Stegostoma tigrinum: one gene and its partner. The protein of the gene in region 1 purifies or fractionates together with the protein of each later gene. This does not show direct contact. Links are inferred from orthologs where the notes say so. Each region holds a gene or a part of one and is shown in the gene's direction. Other genes may lie near its edges.

Evidence for each region. Proteins that work in one complex are often made in the same cells at the same time.
Region 2: the proteins of map2k2a (region 1) and kinase suppressor of Ras 1-like purify together in Homo sapiens (affinity purification with mass spectrometry; 4 studies listed by BioGRID and IntAct, with this or other methods). This does not show direct contact. The link is inferred for Stegostoma tigrinum from reciprocal best matches to the Homo sapiens genes MAP2K2 and KSR1.

The regions. Positions count from the first base shown.
Region 1 is NC_081383.1:37,564,953-37,572,247, reverse strand, and holds the start of map2k2a (dual specificity mitogen-activated protein kinase kinase 2a), read left to right. Parts: upstream 1-4,252; 5' UTR 4,253-4,493; coding exon 4,494-4,585; intron 4,586-7,295. UniProt on the Homo sapiens protein: Catalyzes the concomitant phosphorylation of a threonine and a tyrosine residue in a Thr-Glu-Tyr sequence located in MAP kinases. Activates the ERK1 and ERK2 MAP kinases.
Region 2 is NC_081380.1:37,782,874-37,790,515, reverse strand, and holds the start of kinase suppressor of Ras 1-like, read left to right. Parts: upstream 1-4,608; 5' UTR 4,609-4,890; coding exon 4,891-5,139; intron 5,140-6,144; exon of another isoform or gene 6,145-6,441; intron 6,442-7,642.

The DNA.
Region 1 (7,295 bases):
AATCCTCTAGCCTGCACATCCCTGGTTACGATGGCACAATTTAGCATGGCCAAACCAGCTAGCCTGCACATCTGTGGGACGAAACCCACACAAACACAGGGAGAATGTGCAAACTCCACACAGACAGTTGCCCAAGGGTTGAATCAAATCCTGGTCCTGGCATTGTAAGGCAGCAGTGCTAACCACTGAGCCGCTGTGCTGCTCAAGGGAAAGCACAGGGTTGGGGAACAGCAAAAGCATAGGGTAGCAGATCACACTGGTAGCTACTGTTTACTCTGGCCCATATCACCATGGATCGCCATGAATACATGTCTGTAAACCAAAAGGTCTGAGCAGTCATTAGATTGATTACCACAGTGTTCAGGTGGATGCTGAGAAAATGTTTCCATTTGCAGGAGAGACAATAAGTACAAGTCACAAATATATGATGTTCATTCATAAGTTCAATAGGTAAGTTATGAGGAACAATTTCCGCTAGGGAATGCTTAGGTATCACATGAGGTAGCTGAGGTGACTTACATCTACATGGAAGCTAGATAAAGGAAGAAAGAAGCAAGTGATGCTGGTGTTAGCTGAAGCGTTGGAGACTTTTGTGGGGCACAACCACTGCTGTGTACCGGTTGAGCTAAATGATCTGTTTCTGTGTAGTTAATATCTACCTGACAATATGGAAAATTGCCCAAGTATGTCCTGTACACAAAAAGCAGGACAAATCCAACCTGGCCAGTTACCGCCCCATCAGTCTCCTCTCAATCGTCAGTAAAGTGATGGAAGGTGTCATCAACGGTGCTATCAAGCAGCACCTGCTCAGAAATAACCTGCTCAGCAAAGCCCAGTTCAGGTTCCGCCAGGGCCACTCAGCTCCTGATCTCGTTACGACCTTGGTTCAAACATGGACAAAAGAGCTGAATTCCAGATGTGAGGTGAGAGTGACACTCCTTGATATCACAGCTCCATTTGACAAAGTGTGGCATCAAGGAGCCCTAGCAAAACTGGAATCAATGGGTATCTGGGGGCAAATGCTCCGGTGGTTGGAGTCATATCTGACACGTAGGAAGATGGCTGTGGTTGGGGGAGGTCAATTATCTCAACTCCAGAACATCTCTGCAGGAGTTCCTCAGGGTAATGTCCTAGGCCCAACCACCTTCAGCTGCTTCATCAATGACCTTCCCTCCATCATAAAGTCAGAATTGTGGATGTTCACCAACGATTGCAAATGTTCAGGACCATTTGTGACTCTGCAGGTACTAAAGCAGTCCATGTTCACATGCAACAGGGTCTGGACAAGATCCAGACTTGGATTGACAAGTGGCAAGTGACATTCATGCCACACAAATGCCAGGCTATGGCCATCACCAATAAGAGACAATCTAACCACCTCCTCTCGACATTCAATGGTGTTACCATCACTGAATCTCCCATGATCAACATCCTGGGGGTTACCACTGACCAGAAACTCAACTGGACTCACCACATTAACACAGTGGCTATAAAAGCAGGCCAAAAATTGGGAATACTGCAGCGAGTAACTCACCTCCTGACTCCTCAAAGCCTGTCCACCATCTACAAGGCAGAAGTCAGGAGTGTGATGGAATACTCCCCACTTGCCTGGATGAATGCAGCTCCAACAACACTCAAGAAGCTAGACACAATCTAGGACAAAGCAGTCCACTTGACTGGCGCTACATCCACAAGCATTCACTCCCTCCACCACCGACACTCAGTACGCACTGCTGCTTACTATCTACAAGATGCACCGCAGAAATTCACCAAAGATCCTCAGATTGCACCTTCCAAACTCATGACTACTTCTAGAAGGACAAGGGTAGCAGAAATATGGAAGCACCATCACTTCCAAGTTCCTCTCCAAGTCACTCACCATCCTCACTTGGAAATATATCGCCGTTCCTTCACTGTCGCTGGGTCAAATTCCTGGAATTCCCTCCTTAACACCATTGTGGCTCAACCCATTGCAGGAGGACTGCAGCAGTTCAAAAAGGCAGCTCACCACAACCTTCTCAAGGACGACTAGAGATGGATAAGAAATGCTGGCCGGCCAGCAACGCCCACATCCAACAGATTAATAAAAAGAAGAGTCAGAGAGTTATACAGCAGGGAAACAGATCCTTCAGTCCAAGTCATCCATGCCAACCAAATATCCTAAATTAATCTAAGATAACAAAGTGTGGGGCTGGATGAACACAGGAGGCCAAGCAGCATCTTAGGAGCACAAAAGCTGACGTTTCGGGCCTAGGCCCTTTCTGATGAAGGGTTTAGGCCCGAAACATTAGCTTTTGTGCTCCTAAGATGCTGCTTGGCCTGCTGTGTTCATCCAGCCCCACATTTTGTTATCTTGGATTCTCCAGCATCTGCAGTTCCCATTATCTCTGATCCTAAATTAACCTAGTTCTTTTTGCCAGCATTTGGCCTATATCCCTCTAAACCCTTTCTATTCATACGCCCAAAGATGGCTTTTAAATGTCATAACTGTACCCACCTCCACCATTCCCTCTGGCAACTTATTCCATACACACACTACACTCTGTGTGAAAACTTCTCCTCAGATCCCATTTAAATCTTTCCCCTCGTGCCTTAAACATGTGGCTTCTAGTTTTAGATTTCCCTACCCTGGGAAAAAGACCTTGGCTGTTCACACTATCCACTCCCCCATAAGGTCAACCCTCTGCCTCTAACATGCCAGGGAAAATAGCCCCAGCCTATTCAGCCATTCCCTTTAGCTCAAACCCACCAACCCGGGCAACATCCTTGTAAATCTTTTTCCAAAATCTTTCAGGTTTAACAGCATCTTTCATATAGCAGGGAGACCAGAATTAAATGCAGTTCAATACAGTAAATGATTAAATACTGTGAGATTTGGTGAGATTTCACTGACCTGATTATAACTGCCTTTTCTAAACCATGGCACTGTTTGTTACCAGACAGCCTTTTGCTGACCTCCCAAGTTCATCTTCTGGTGGTGAGGAGATAAAAGCCATGGAGATGGTCACATTGCTGAGATCTCCCAGTTCATAGAGCAAATAGGGTCCAGTTATAGGACCAACATCGCACCACAGAGTATCTTATTGTCTGCAACAGTATTCTGCATTCATTCTGACATACAAGCCCACACTGTAAGACAGGGAATGGCAGATAGTGATCTCTTGCTCACCACTCACAGCTGCCAGCCAAGTGCTTGTGAAATTCCTCTCAGAGGGAGAATGCCAAGGAGATGGAGTCAAACCTGCTCCGTCTTCCTTAGCAACCAGGTTTGTCCTTAACAATAAGCATCATTATCTAGTCCCAGTCTCCCATTCTTCCACTCCCCCACCCCCAACCCTTGTAATGTCTTGGCAGTACCATTCTCATGGACGGGGGGGGGGGGGGGGGGGAGTGAAGGAGTAGAGCAACCTCGGCATACGTGTAGACAGATCATTGAAGATGACAGGTCAGGTAGGGAGAGAGCAATAAGTAACGAATACAGTATCTTCAGCTTATTAGGCCTACCCTGTTCTGGGTGCCATGTAAGAAAGATGTGACTGCATTGGAGACTGTGTAGAAGCAGTTTACAAGTTCCAGGTTTGAAGAACATGAGTTATGAGGATAGATTGAAAAAGATGGTTCTGTTCCCCTTGGAGGGAGGTCTAAGAGGAGGTCCGGTAAATATTTTCAAACTCAAGGGCAGGCTGGATAGAGTAGACAGGGAGACAGCCAAGAAGTAAGGGTGAGGTGAGGTAAAATATTTTCATCCTACAAGTAGTTGGGGTGTGGAACACTGCCCTGAAGTGTGGTGAGGGCAAGTTCAAGATGGGCAATTTAAGAAGCAATTGAGTGCCTCGTTTAGATAGAAACAATCCACATGGATGGAGGGAACGCAGGGGTTTGGCACTAGATAATGATGTTCATGTAATGAGCTAGCGCACGAATACGGGTCAAATTGCCGCCTGGGCAGTAACAATTAAACACTTCTGGCAACCAAACCCTGCCCTTGATCTCCCTTAGCAACTAGGCCCCAACCCAATCTCGAACAAAGGCACAAGCCACTGGAAAAGCTCAACGGGTCCGGCAGCATCTCTTAAGAAAAATAATCAGAGTTAACATTTCAGTCCGGTGACCCTTCCTCAGAACTGTTCTCCCTTAGGATCCAGGCCTCGCCCCTGACCTCCCTTAGCAACCAGGCCCCGCCCGTGACCTCCCTTAGCAACCAGGCCCCGCCCTTAACATTCCTTAGCAACCAGGCCCCGCCCCTGACCTCCCTGAGGAACTCGCGGCCGCCGCTTTACTCTTCACCCCGGAAGTAGTTGTGGGCGTTTGTGACCTTCTGTTGGAGTCGCGGAAGGGTCGCTGGTGCCGTCAGTCAAATTCAAATGTGAAAAAGGGGAAAGCCTTGACGAGGAGAGAAGGAGAGGGGGGGTTTCAAGGGAAGACAGCCATTCCGCCAGGCGAGGAGCCCTTGGCCGCCGTGTTGGTGGCAGAGAGTTTGGGGCGGATTAAAGATGTTCGCTAAACGGAAAGCGGTGCTGCCCACTCTCACCATCACAACCACTGTCGGTGAAGGACCGTCCCCAACCAGGGAGGATAACGCCGAGTGAGTAACGGCCCGGCCTGGGCCTGGTTGTGTCAAGCTGCCTCTTGCAGCCTCTTTTAGGGATTTCCCAAGGCCTTGCCTCCAATAAAATTCGTTCTCCGGAATGCATTTTGTTTTTAAGTAATTCTTTGTTTCTCCTGTCCGCTCCCAATTCCCTAATCTGCCTCGGGGTATCACAGATAACCTGGTTTAAAATCGTTTGGCGCGAGATTGGGCATTTCCCCCCCTCCAAGCGATAATGGGTTTAAATTGATTGGTGGGGTTTTCGGAATAAGGGCAAGGATGTCATCTCAACCGGGGAAAAAATAACAATATAACGTCTGCGTATTTTCGTTCTAAACACTGTAACGGCACTGAATACCAAGAAACTTAATGGTATAGTTGCCTGAAAAACACTGCGTTACAATATTGATAAAATAGATCTGGAAATATTATTCTGCAGGTTGGATTAACTGAAATAGTTTTTCGCTCTTTATGTCTGTATATTGAGCTGCAGCGGCCTGGAAAATCCTACATTCGAGCCTTGACCTGTGTTTAATAGGCTGATCTGAAAATATCGCTAAAAAGGTGCTGCAAGAATCTTTTATGCGCCAGTGTGAGGAAAGCAAAAAGAACTAAGTTGCCAGTTGTCAACTGTTTGCATTAACTCCTATTTAGATGTGCAGAGGCTGAGTGAGGCGTGATGCCCCAGTGACTGAATAGTCCGCCGACGGCCGTATGGAGTCTGACATGAAAAGTTGCAGCTTTGGTTAGCAGCTGATCATTTAGTTCATTCAGGAAGAAAGCATTTCTAGTTATATTTGTTTCCATTTTAGTTTGGGACAGTGACAGCAGCACATTTACTTCTCGATAGAAGATTCTAGGTTTGAGTCCTATTCAGTGTATTGTGTATATCTGTGTCTTTCTATCCAAGCAACTGAGCAGTCACTTCCACTGGTCATTGCTGGATTTTGAATTGACCACCTGAGATGTGTGTAAGTAAAAAAATCCCCTGGGAAGCTGAGGTCTTTGAAACACTGAATGCCGATGGCTTTGGGCCAGAAGGTTGGGGTTCAAGCTCAACTCTGGAGGTTTGTGATAACATTTGAACAGACTGATTAAAATCACTTTTCAAAAATCATTGAAGTTGATCTGGTTTACTTTTTGGAGTTTTCTTACAGCAAAGGAATTTTTGTTTATACTTGTTAGGTCTCTGCTGCATATGAATATGTTGAAATTGTCCTTTTATATTTTTTGCTAATTCTTGTCATCCTCTGAGACATTTCCCAAGTGTTTTTTTAATCAGACTTTCAAAACTTTGAAGAAATACTTGTTGCAACATTCACACTTCTCCAGTTAAATTGCTCCTCATTGTATCTCTTCACTTGCGGTCTCTTCACATGACCAAGTAATAAAACTTTAAAATTGGGAAACTGCAATAGCAAAATATGGTCAATCAATGTTCTAATTTGGTGCATCCTTTGCAGTTTTTTTTGCTTAGTTGGTGACAGTTAATTGCATACACAATTTCATGAATAAAATTTGTTTCAACTTCTGCACATACTTTAATATCTGGACTAAGGCACAAGATTGGAACAACATGTTTCAGTTTCATCCAAAAGTATGTTAAGTCTTTCTAAGTACACCCAGTGACAATTTAGCAGTGCTTTTCCCCAGAATCTTCCAGAGTATCTTGCATTTACTTCCTGATAGTAATCTCTTCATCTTAGATGTTTATTTTGCACTCTTCTCAAATTTTATTATACTGATAATCTGATCTGCTGGTGTTGTATCTTGCCATCAAGTTTTGTTACCGATGGTCTGCTTGTTAACGTTTTCTGTAATTTTTTTATAATGCAGCCTCTAGTTTCTAATTTTACTTGAGATCTTTGGATGTAGTTGAACTGTAGAGCAATTTTAGGAGTAATCCTCTGTACACTCAAATGAGTAGTGAACCTGTGGAATTTGCTAACACAAAAACCATTCAAGGCAAAACATGGTTTGATTTCAAGAAGCAATTGAATATAGCACTTGGGGCTAAGAGATACGAGGGAAAAGCAGGAATGAGATTTGAGTTGGATGATCAGCCATGATCATAGTGGTTTTACGTTCAATTCAAAGATTAGCATTCCACTAGCCGCCTTGATGATGCACTATGTTTGCATTCTGACTATTTGTTACTTGAGCCACAAACACACCTAATTCCTCTACAGCTTGGAATTCTGCAGTTGTCCCTGTTTTATTATACTCTGCTCTTTCATTCTTCCTGCCGTAGTGACCAACCTTACATTTTTCCATGTTATATTCCATCTACCAGATTTTTGACCAAAACTTAGCAAAACTGTATCCTTCTGCAAACTCTTTAAATCATCATCACAACATACTTTCTCATCACCTATCACTGTGGGCGGCATGGTAGCTCAGTGGTTAGCACTGCAGCCTCACAGCTCCAGGGACCCAGGTTCAATTCCAGCCTCAGGCGACTGTCTGTGTGGAATTTGCGCATTCTCCCCGTATCAGTGTGGGTTTCCTCCGGGTGCTTCAGTTTCCTCCCACAGTCCAAAGATGTGCAGGCTAGGTGGATTGGCCATGCTAAATTGCCCATAGTGTTCAGGGGTGTGTGGCTTATAGGTGAATGGGTCTGGGTGGGATGCTTCAAGGGGCGATTTGGACTTGTTGGGCCAAATGGCCTGTTTCCACACTGTAGGGAATCTAATCTAATCTATCTAGT
Region 2 (7,642 bases), on another chromosome or scaffold:
CTATGAAAACAATAGGATTGTTGTGTTGGATGATTTTAAGTTCTCCTATACTGACTGGGTCTTGCTGAAAAGCAGGAGCTTGGATGGGGGAGAATTTGTTAGGTGTGTCCAAGATACTTTTTTGAAACTATATGTAAAAGTCCAACTGGGGAGGGGCCATACTGGACTAGGTATTGGGGAATAAGCCTAGGCAGGTTATTAAAGTTTCAATGGGGTGGAGGTGGGGCATTTTGGGAACAGTAACCATAATTCTGTTAATTTTAAGTTATTTAAGGATAAGGACAAGGGTATTCTTTGGTGAATATACTAAGCTGGGGGATAGCTACCTACCACGACATTAGGGAGGAACTGGGAAATGTAGACTGGGGGCAACTGTTTGAGGGTAAAAAACATCTGGCATTTGGGAATCTTTTAAAGGCCAATTGATTAGAGGTCAGGAACAGCATGTTCCTGTGAAAGCGAATTGCAAGATTTGGGAACCTTGGATGACAAGAGAAATTGAGAGCTTAGTGACAAAGGAGACATATGTAATGTTTCGGAAACTGAAGGCAGACAGACCTCTCCAAAAATACAAAGACAGCAGGAAATAGCTTAAATAAGGACGGCTAAAAGGGGCCATGATATGACTTTGGCAAACATGATTAAGGAAAATCAAAGAGATAATGGGAACTGCAGATGCTGGAGAATCCAAGATAACAAAGTGTGGAGCTGGATGAACACAGCCGGCCAATTAGCATCTTAGGAGCACAAAAGCTGATGTTTCGGACCTAGACCCTTCATCAGAAAAGGGGGATGGGGAGAGGGTTCTGAAATAAATAGACAGAGAGGGGGAGGCGGATCGAAGATGGTTAGAGGAGAAGATAGGTGGAGAGGAGACAGACAAGCCAAAGGGGCAGGGATAGAGCCAGTAAAGGTGAGTGTGGGTGGGGAGGTAGGGAGGGGATAGGTCAATCTGGGGAGGACAGACAGGTCAAGGGGGCGGGATGAGGAGAGAATGAAGGAAATAGAGGTGCAGCTTGAGGTGGGAGGAGGGAATAGGTGAGAGGAAGAACAGGTTAGGGAGGCAGCGATGAGCTGGGCTGGTTTTGGGATGCAGTGGGGGAAGGGGAGATTTTGAAGCTTGTGAAATCCACATTGATACCATTGGGTTGCAGGGTTCCCAAGAGGAATATGAGCTGCTGTTCCTGCAACCTACAGGTGGCATCGTTGTGGCAGTGCAGGAGGCCCAGGATGGATATGTCATCCAAGGAATGGGAGGGGGAATTGAAATGGTTCACGACTGGGAGGTGCAGTTGTTTATTGCAAACCTAGCGTAGGTGTTCTGCAAAGTGGACCCCAAGCCTCCGCTTGGTTTCCCCAATGTAGATGTAGCCACAACGGGTACCGCGGATGCAGTGACCCACATTGGCAGATGTGCAGTTGAACATCTGCTTGATGTGGAAAGTCTTCTTGGGGCCTGGGATGGGGGTGAGGGAGGTGGTGTGGGGGCAGGTGTAGCACTTCCTGTGGTTGCAGGGGAAAATGACAGGTGTGTTGGGGTTGGAGGGGAGTGTGGAGCAGACAAGGGAGTCTTGGAGAGAGTGATCCCTCCGGAAAGCAGACAAGGGTGGGGATGGAAAAATGTTTTTGGTGGTGGGGTTGGATTGTAGATGGTGGAAGTGTCGGAGGATGATGCGTTGTATCCAGAGGTTGGTGGGGTGGTATGTGAGGATGAGGGAGATTCTCCTTTGGCGGTTATTGTGGGGATGGGGTGTGAGGGATGAGTTGCGGGAAATGCGGGAGACAAAGTCGAGGGCGTTCTCGATCACTGCGGGGGGGATGTTGTGGTTTTTGAAGTACATATATAAAAGTTAGGAGGTTAGCTAGGGAAAGGGAAGGTCCACTCAAGGACAAAGGAGAGAATTTAAGCAAGGAGCCAGAGGAAGAGGGTGAGTTCCTTCAAGAATATTTTGCAATGTATTCACAAAGTACAAGGATATGGTGAGTGGTGAGTCTTTGGAGAGATATGTTGATAAACTAGGACAAGTTTATATAAATAAGCAAGAGGTGTTGGGTCTTTCAAAAAGCGTTAAGGTAGACAAGTCCCCAGAACCGGAAGGGATCTACCTAAGGATGCTGAGGGAGACAAATGAGGAAATTGCTGAGGTCTTGAAATCTTTGTATCCTCTTTAGTCACAGGAGAGGTCCCAGAGGACTGGAGAATAGCCAACTTTGTTCTTATATTTAAGAAGCATTTACTCAGATTTGAAAAAAATTGGCCTTATTCAATGATTGGTGAGGGCAGGATGATTCATGTTGTCCATGTGGACTTAGCAAGCTCTTTGACGAGCTCTCTAATAGCAGACAGGTAGAAGAGGTGAAGTTTTATGGGATCCTAGTGAGTTGGTAAGATTAATACAGAACTGGCTTAGCCTTAGAAGACAGAGAGTAGTGTGGAAGGCTTCTGACTGGAGATCTGTGACTAGTGATGTTCTGCAAGGATCAGTGCTGGGACCCCTGTTGTTTGTAACATATGTAAATGATTTGTAGAAGAATGTAGGTGGCTTGATTAGTAAGTTTATGGGTGACACAAAGATTGGGGGAGCATTGGATAGTGAGGAGGATTGCCAGAGATCATATCAGGATATAGATAGGCAGGAGACGTGGGTGCAGAAATGGCAGGTCAAGTTTAATCTTGAGGAATGGAAGGTGATACGTTTTGGAAGATCTAAAGCAGGATGGAGGTATACAGTAAACGGCAGAGCCCTTAGTAGCATCAACATACAGTGGGATCTAGCTATACGGGTTCACAGTTCCCTGAAAGTGGCAAAACAAGCGGGCAACATGGTAAGAAGGTGTATGGCATGCTTTCCTTCATCAGTCAGGGCATAGAGTATGAAAATTGTTGCAGCTGTATAGAACTTGTTTAGGCCATCTTTGGAATTTTCACACTATTCTTATTGCCACACGATATGGAAGATGTGAAGGCTTGGAGGGGCAACAGAGACAGTTTACCAGGATGTTGCATTATTTGGAGGGTATTAGCTATGAGGAGAGATTGGACAAACTTGGTTTGATTTTACTTGAACATCAAAGGATGTGGGGTGACCTGATGGAAGCTTACAAAATTCCAAGAGGCATAGATAGAATGTGTAGTCGGATTTTTTTTTCCCAGACTAGAAATGTCAATTACCACAGGTCTTGACTTAAGGTAAAAGAAGGTAAAATTTAAAGAAGATGTGGGAAGCATGTTTTTTTACACAGAGGGTGATAAGTGCCTGGAATGCTCTGCCAGAGGAGGTGGTGGAGGCAGATACAATAGCAACATTTAAGAAGCATCTTGCCACATATATGAATAGGCAAGGAATAGAGGAATGTGGACTGCATTGAGGCAAAAGGTTTTTAATTTAGAAAGGCATTAAGTGTTGGTGCAGTCTTGGTGGGTGAAGGGCTTGTTCTTGTGCTGTACTGTTCTTTGTTCTTTATTCATTTTCCTTTCCATCACCTTCTCTCTTTCCCAATGTCCCCAGCCACTGTCCTCAGGAAAGGCACCAGAATTGGGTAGTGGAGTTGGTAGATAAACACGGAGGCTGCCAACACCATCTTTTTATCATCTTGCCTTTGTTCTGTCCTGATTTGGGATAGGGAAATTCAGACCCTTGTCAACATTTAAAACCAGGTTAGATAGCAGATTGAAGGAAAAAGAATATAAAACATGGAAATAGAACGATTGTTCACATGGAAAATGAACATTAACATGGACTGGTTGACTTGCCAATTTGGCACTTTTGTGTTGTGAATTGATATGTCAATAAAGAGCCTGATATATTTCCAGGAATATCACAATCCTGAAAGTCATGCATCATAATTGAATTGTTAACATTTTGAACATCTAAGGTCAGCGCTATGCTCGTATAATAATTGGAATTGGCCACTGAAATTATTCAGGTGTTGCAGCATAAGTAATAAGTAATCTATTATGTTTTATTCTTGCAGGATATTTCACTTTGAGATTTTGAGTGGTTGACAGGTGCTGTGGAGACTTGTGATCATATGTCTGACAGACGAAAATCTTGTTCGTGAAGGTTTGTGGTTTACTTTTCAAATACAGGGAGAACTTCTGTTAGACTTGTGATTATTTACGGGTACCGCAGCATTGTTTAGCAATTGCCACACTATGAATGTCAAGAACATTTTTGAAAAGGGTGTCCAACTAGATCAACAAGTCTTGGGATTCAGGAAAGCAAGGGGACACCAGTGATAGCAAGGAAATCTGCGAGTACGGGAACGAGTCGCGATCAGTTAACTTGGATTAGAAAAGCTGTATGCAGCATGTTTATGCCGTTTATTGAGCTTTAAGGAGAGTCTGTTATGGGGTTTGTGGGGAGGATGAGGGAGGCATGGCGCCTGGCGGGAATTGTAGTTGGATTTCTTCAGCCTCGGGGCGTGACTACAAATCCCAGAAGGCAGAGCGAGAGGTGCTGCACCCCGGGAATTGTAGTCGGTTTCCTCCCTGTCTTGTGGGCTCTGCCGTGGAAATTGACAACAAATCCCAGAAGGCAGAGCGCGTAGTCCCATAGCAACCGCTCACGGCCCCCTCCCCCCACACCGCCGAAGGGGAAGAGGAGAAGAAAATAAACGAAGCTGATCCATAGTATTAAGCGGCGTCTGGAGCTTCAGATGGGCTGCTGTCACACAGGAGAGGGACACTTACTAACTTGACAGCTGCATTTTTACTTTTGCACGTGTTTAGTTCAGCTTAATCATTTCAATAGATCTATATTTTCTGCAGTTTTCATGTTTTCTGTGTGAGGAAAACTTTTTTTTGTGTGGTGGCGGTTGTACTGAAATTAGGGTTCGGGAAGGGGGGAAAGGGGGGAAGACAAATATAACCAGGCCGAATGTTTAGGAATGGCTGAAGAGAACAGCAAGGGTCACAGCAATAAGATAAAGAAAGCTACGGTTGCTGAGGAAGAGGGGAGTGAGGAAGAGGAGGAGGACGAGGAGGAGGACGAAGGGGAGCTGAGTTTGGAGAAGGCCCTACAGCAGTGCGACCTGAACCAGGACATGATCGACATCAGCATCTCCAGCCTGGAGGGGCTCAGGACCAAATGTTCCGCTTCCAACGACTTGACACAACAGGAGATTCGGATGCTGGAGGTAAAACTGCATCCCTTGTGCTCTTTTTTTTGGTGGGGTGGGGACGAACATCCCGCCTTTGGAAAGAAATATAAACAAACGAGGAGAAGTCTGATGCACATGCAAACTGGGGCAAGTGAGAACAGAGGGTGGAAAACTGTCAGACACCCTCCACCCCCGTGCAGGGGCTGCAGATGGGGGAAAGATGAAGCTTCTGAGACTCAGACTTTTAGATTTAAAGCAGTACCGTCTGTTTTTCTAATGAATTCAGAAAATGGGTGCTTATGAAGGATTTACTTATTAGTCGTAATCCAGATATTTTGCACCTGCATGTATTATGCAGAGTCCTAGAGCACAGAACTGTGTACAACCATGACTGGAGCACACTGTCTGCATTGTTGATTAGGTGTGTAGAGTCATAGAGTTGTACAGCACGGAAACAGACCTTTCGGTCCAACTCGTTTATACCGAACAGAGCTTCCAAACGGACCTAACCCCGTTTGCCAGCATTTGACCCATATCCCTCCAGACCTTCCATACCGGTCTTTTATCTGACCTCCGAGATAGTAAGAATTGCCGATGCTGGAGTCTGAGATAAAAAGGTGTGGAGCTGGAGGAACACAACAGGCCAAGCAGCATCAGAGGTGCGGGAAAGCTGACGTTTCGGGTCCAGACGTTTCCTGCTCCTCTGAAGCTGCATGGCTGCTGTGTTCCTCCAGTTCCACACCTTGTTATCATTTTTATCTGACCTCGACCAGTTGCTGCTATTGAGAATGAAATCAAATGCGTTGCAATAATATCCGTTAAGATAAAAATTGTCCCAAGGTTGTTGAATTAAAATCCTCGCCCTTTATATCCGGACTTTGAATTTTTTTCCCGTTTGGCAAATTGCAGCAATTATTTTTGATTGTGAGCGGTTAACCAAGTCGTGTATAATTTTGTATTGTCGTGATGCTTTCTGTGCGTGGAAAACTACACAAAACTTGTCTGGTGGCAGGAGGTCTTAATTTTAAAATGTTACGTGTGTTAATTTGGAGTTTACTCACGGTTAGCCGTTTAATTGTGTTATTCACAGTCTTGGTTGGATGTTTTCAACTGAGACCAACAGCTGACGTTAACCCTTAATCCCCAAAACAACACATGTAGGTGAGCAGAGAGATCTTTTAGCAGCTTTCACTGCACAACTGACTTTACTTGTGCCTGGGTCGTGAGGATTCACAGATACTCCACCGAGATTGTCTGTCTAACTGTGTGGATCTATATATGTCAATGTGTCGCCTTGTAACAATCGTGTCAGCAGTTTGGTTTTGATGAGTGTTCCCGGTAAGCCGCTGTTATAACTCGCTTTGGAAATGTTTAAACCTGTCCAAATAGTAGTGTGCCTTTGGGTCTTTTTTTTTAACAAAAAAAAGGCGGCAGGACTCTAAGTTTCAGCAGACATGCTAGGAATATAATGGTGAATTTTCTGCCAGGCGTTCGGAAGGCTGTTAAATTTTATGTTTTCGAAGATTGGGTGCCGGCCCCTAGGCCCATGTTGATCAGACGCTGACTACAGTGCAAGGATGAGATCAGCATAACCTACTTCTCCCGAAATGTACCGTCGCAACACTGCAGCACTCGGGTGCCAGTTGTAAGCAGTTGTATTTTCAATGAAGATCAGGTTTTTTTGGCGGGGTGGCAGCAAGGAAGAAAGACGGGCCATGTTCCGAGGTTCTCGGGAATTTTCTTTAGGGTGTTCAAGGATTTTTTTGATGTTGTAATCTAACGTGTTTTCCAGTTGACTACTGACCAAGATCTCACACCAGTGTTAGCCATTTCTCTGGATAATAGATGTTCTCTGGCGGACATGCTTTGTTTTGTGGGTACTGGGTGGCAGCAGTATGAAAACCCTTTCTGCATTATTGGGGAATGAAGTAATAACTAGTCTCCACAGTTGTGTGTTGCGGCTGTTTCTAAAAATAGAGCAGAACAACTCCCCCTCGTTCTAGTTACAACGTGATAAGTATATGCCACAACCTCGAAAAGACTCTCCTTTGCCATTGACGTGATCCGAAAAGCAGTTGAAATGTAGTAATTCAGTTCCAAATGGTTTTTTAAAAATATAAATATATTTGATCTAGTTCTTCACGAAAGTACTTCTGGTCATGCCTCGGTGATAGAGGAATGTCGGTGACGTGCTGGGAATGGTTGCAACGTTGGGTGGGGGGCGGCCGGCCAAGGCATTAGATTACATTGCCTGTGTTTAGTTGAGAAGGATTGTGATGCCTTGCCTACTGTATTACATTTATCTAACTTTTTAGTATAAGTTTGGCCTGCATTGTATGGAATTTGCCTACTAAATGCTGTATTGAGCAGAGAATGTAATTGGATGGGCTCCTTGAGTTTTGTATATTCTCATAACCAATCCTCAGATTTTCTTTGTTTTTCAATATGCATATTTGATCATTTGTGCAAGCCTTGTATAACAGATTTCACATATTTTGGAAGGAATTGTAGCGGGTGTACTTTAAACAAACCCAGATTT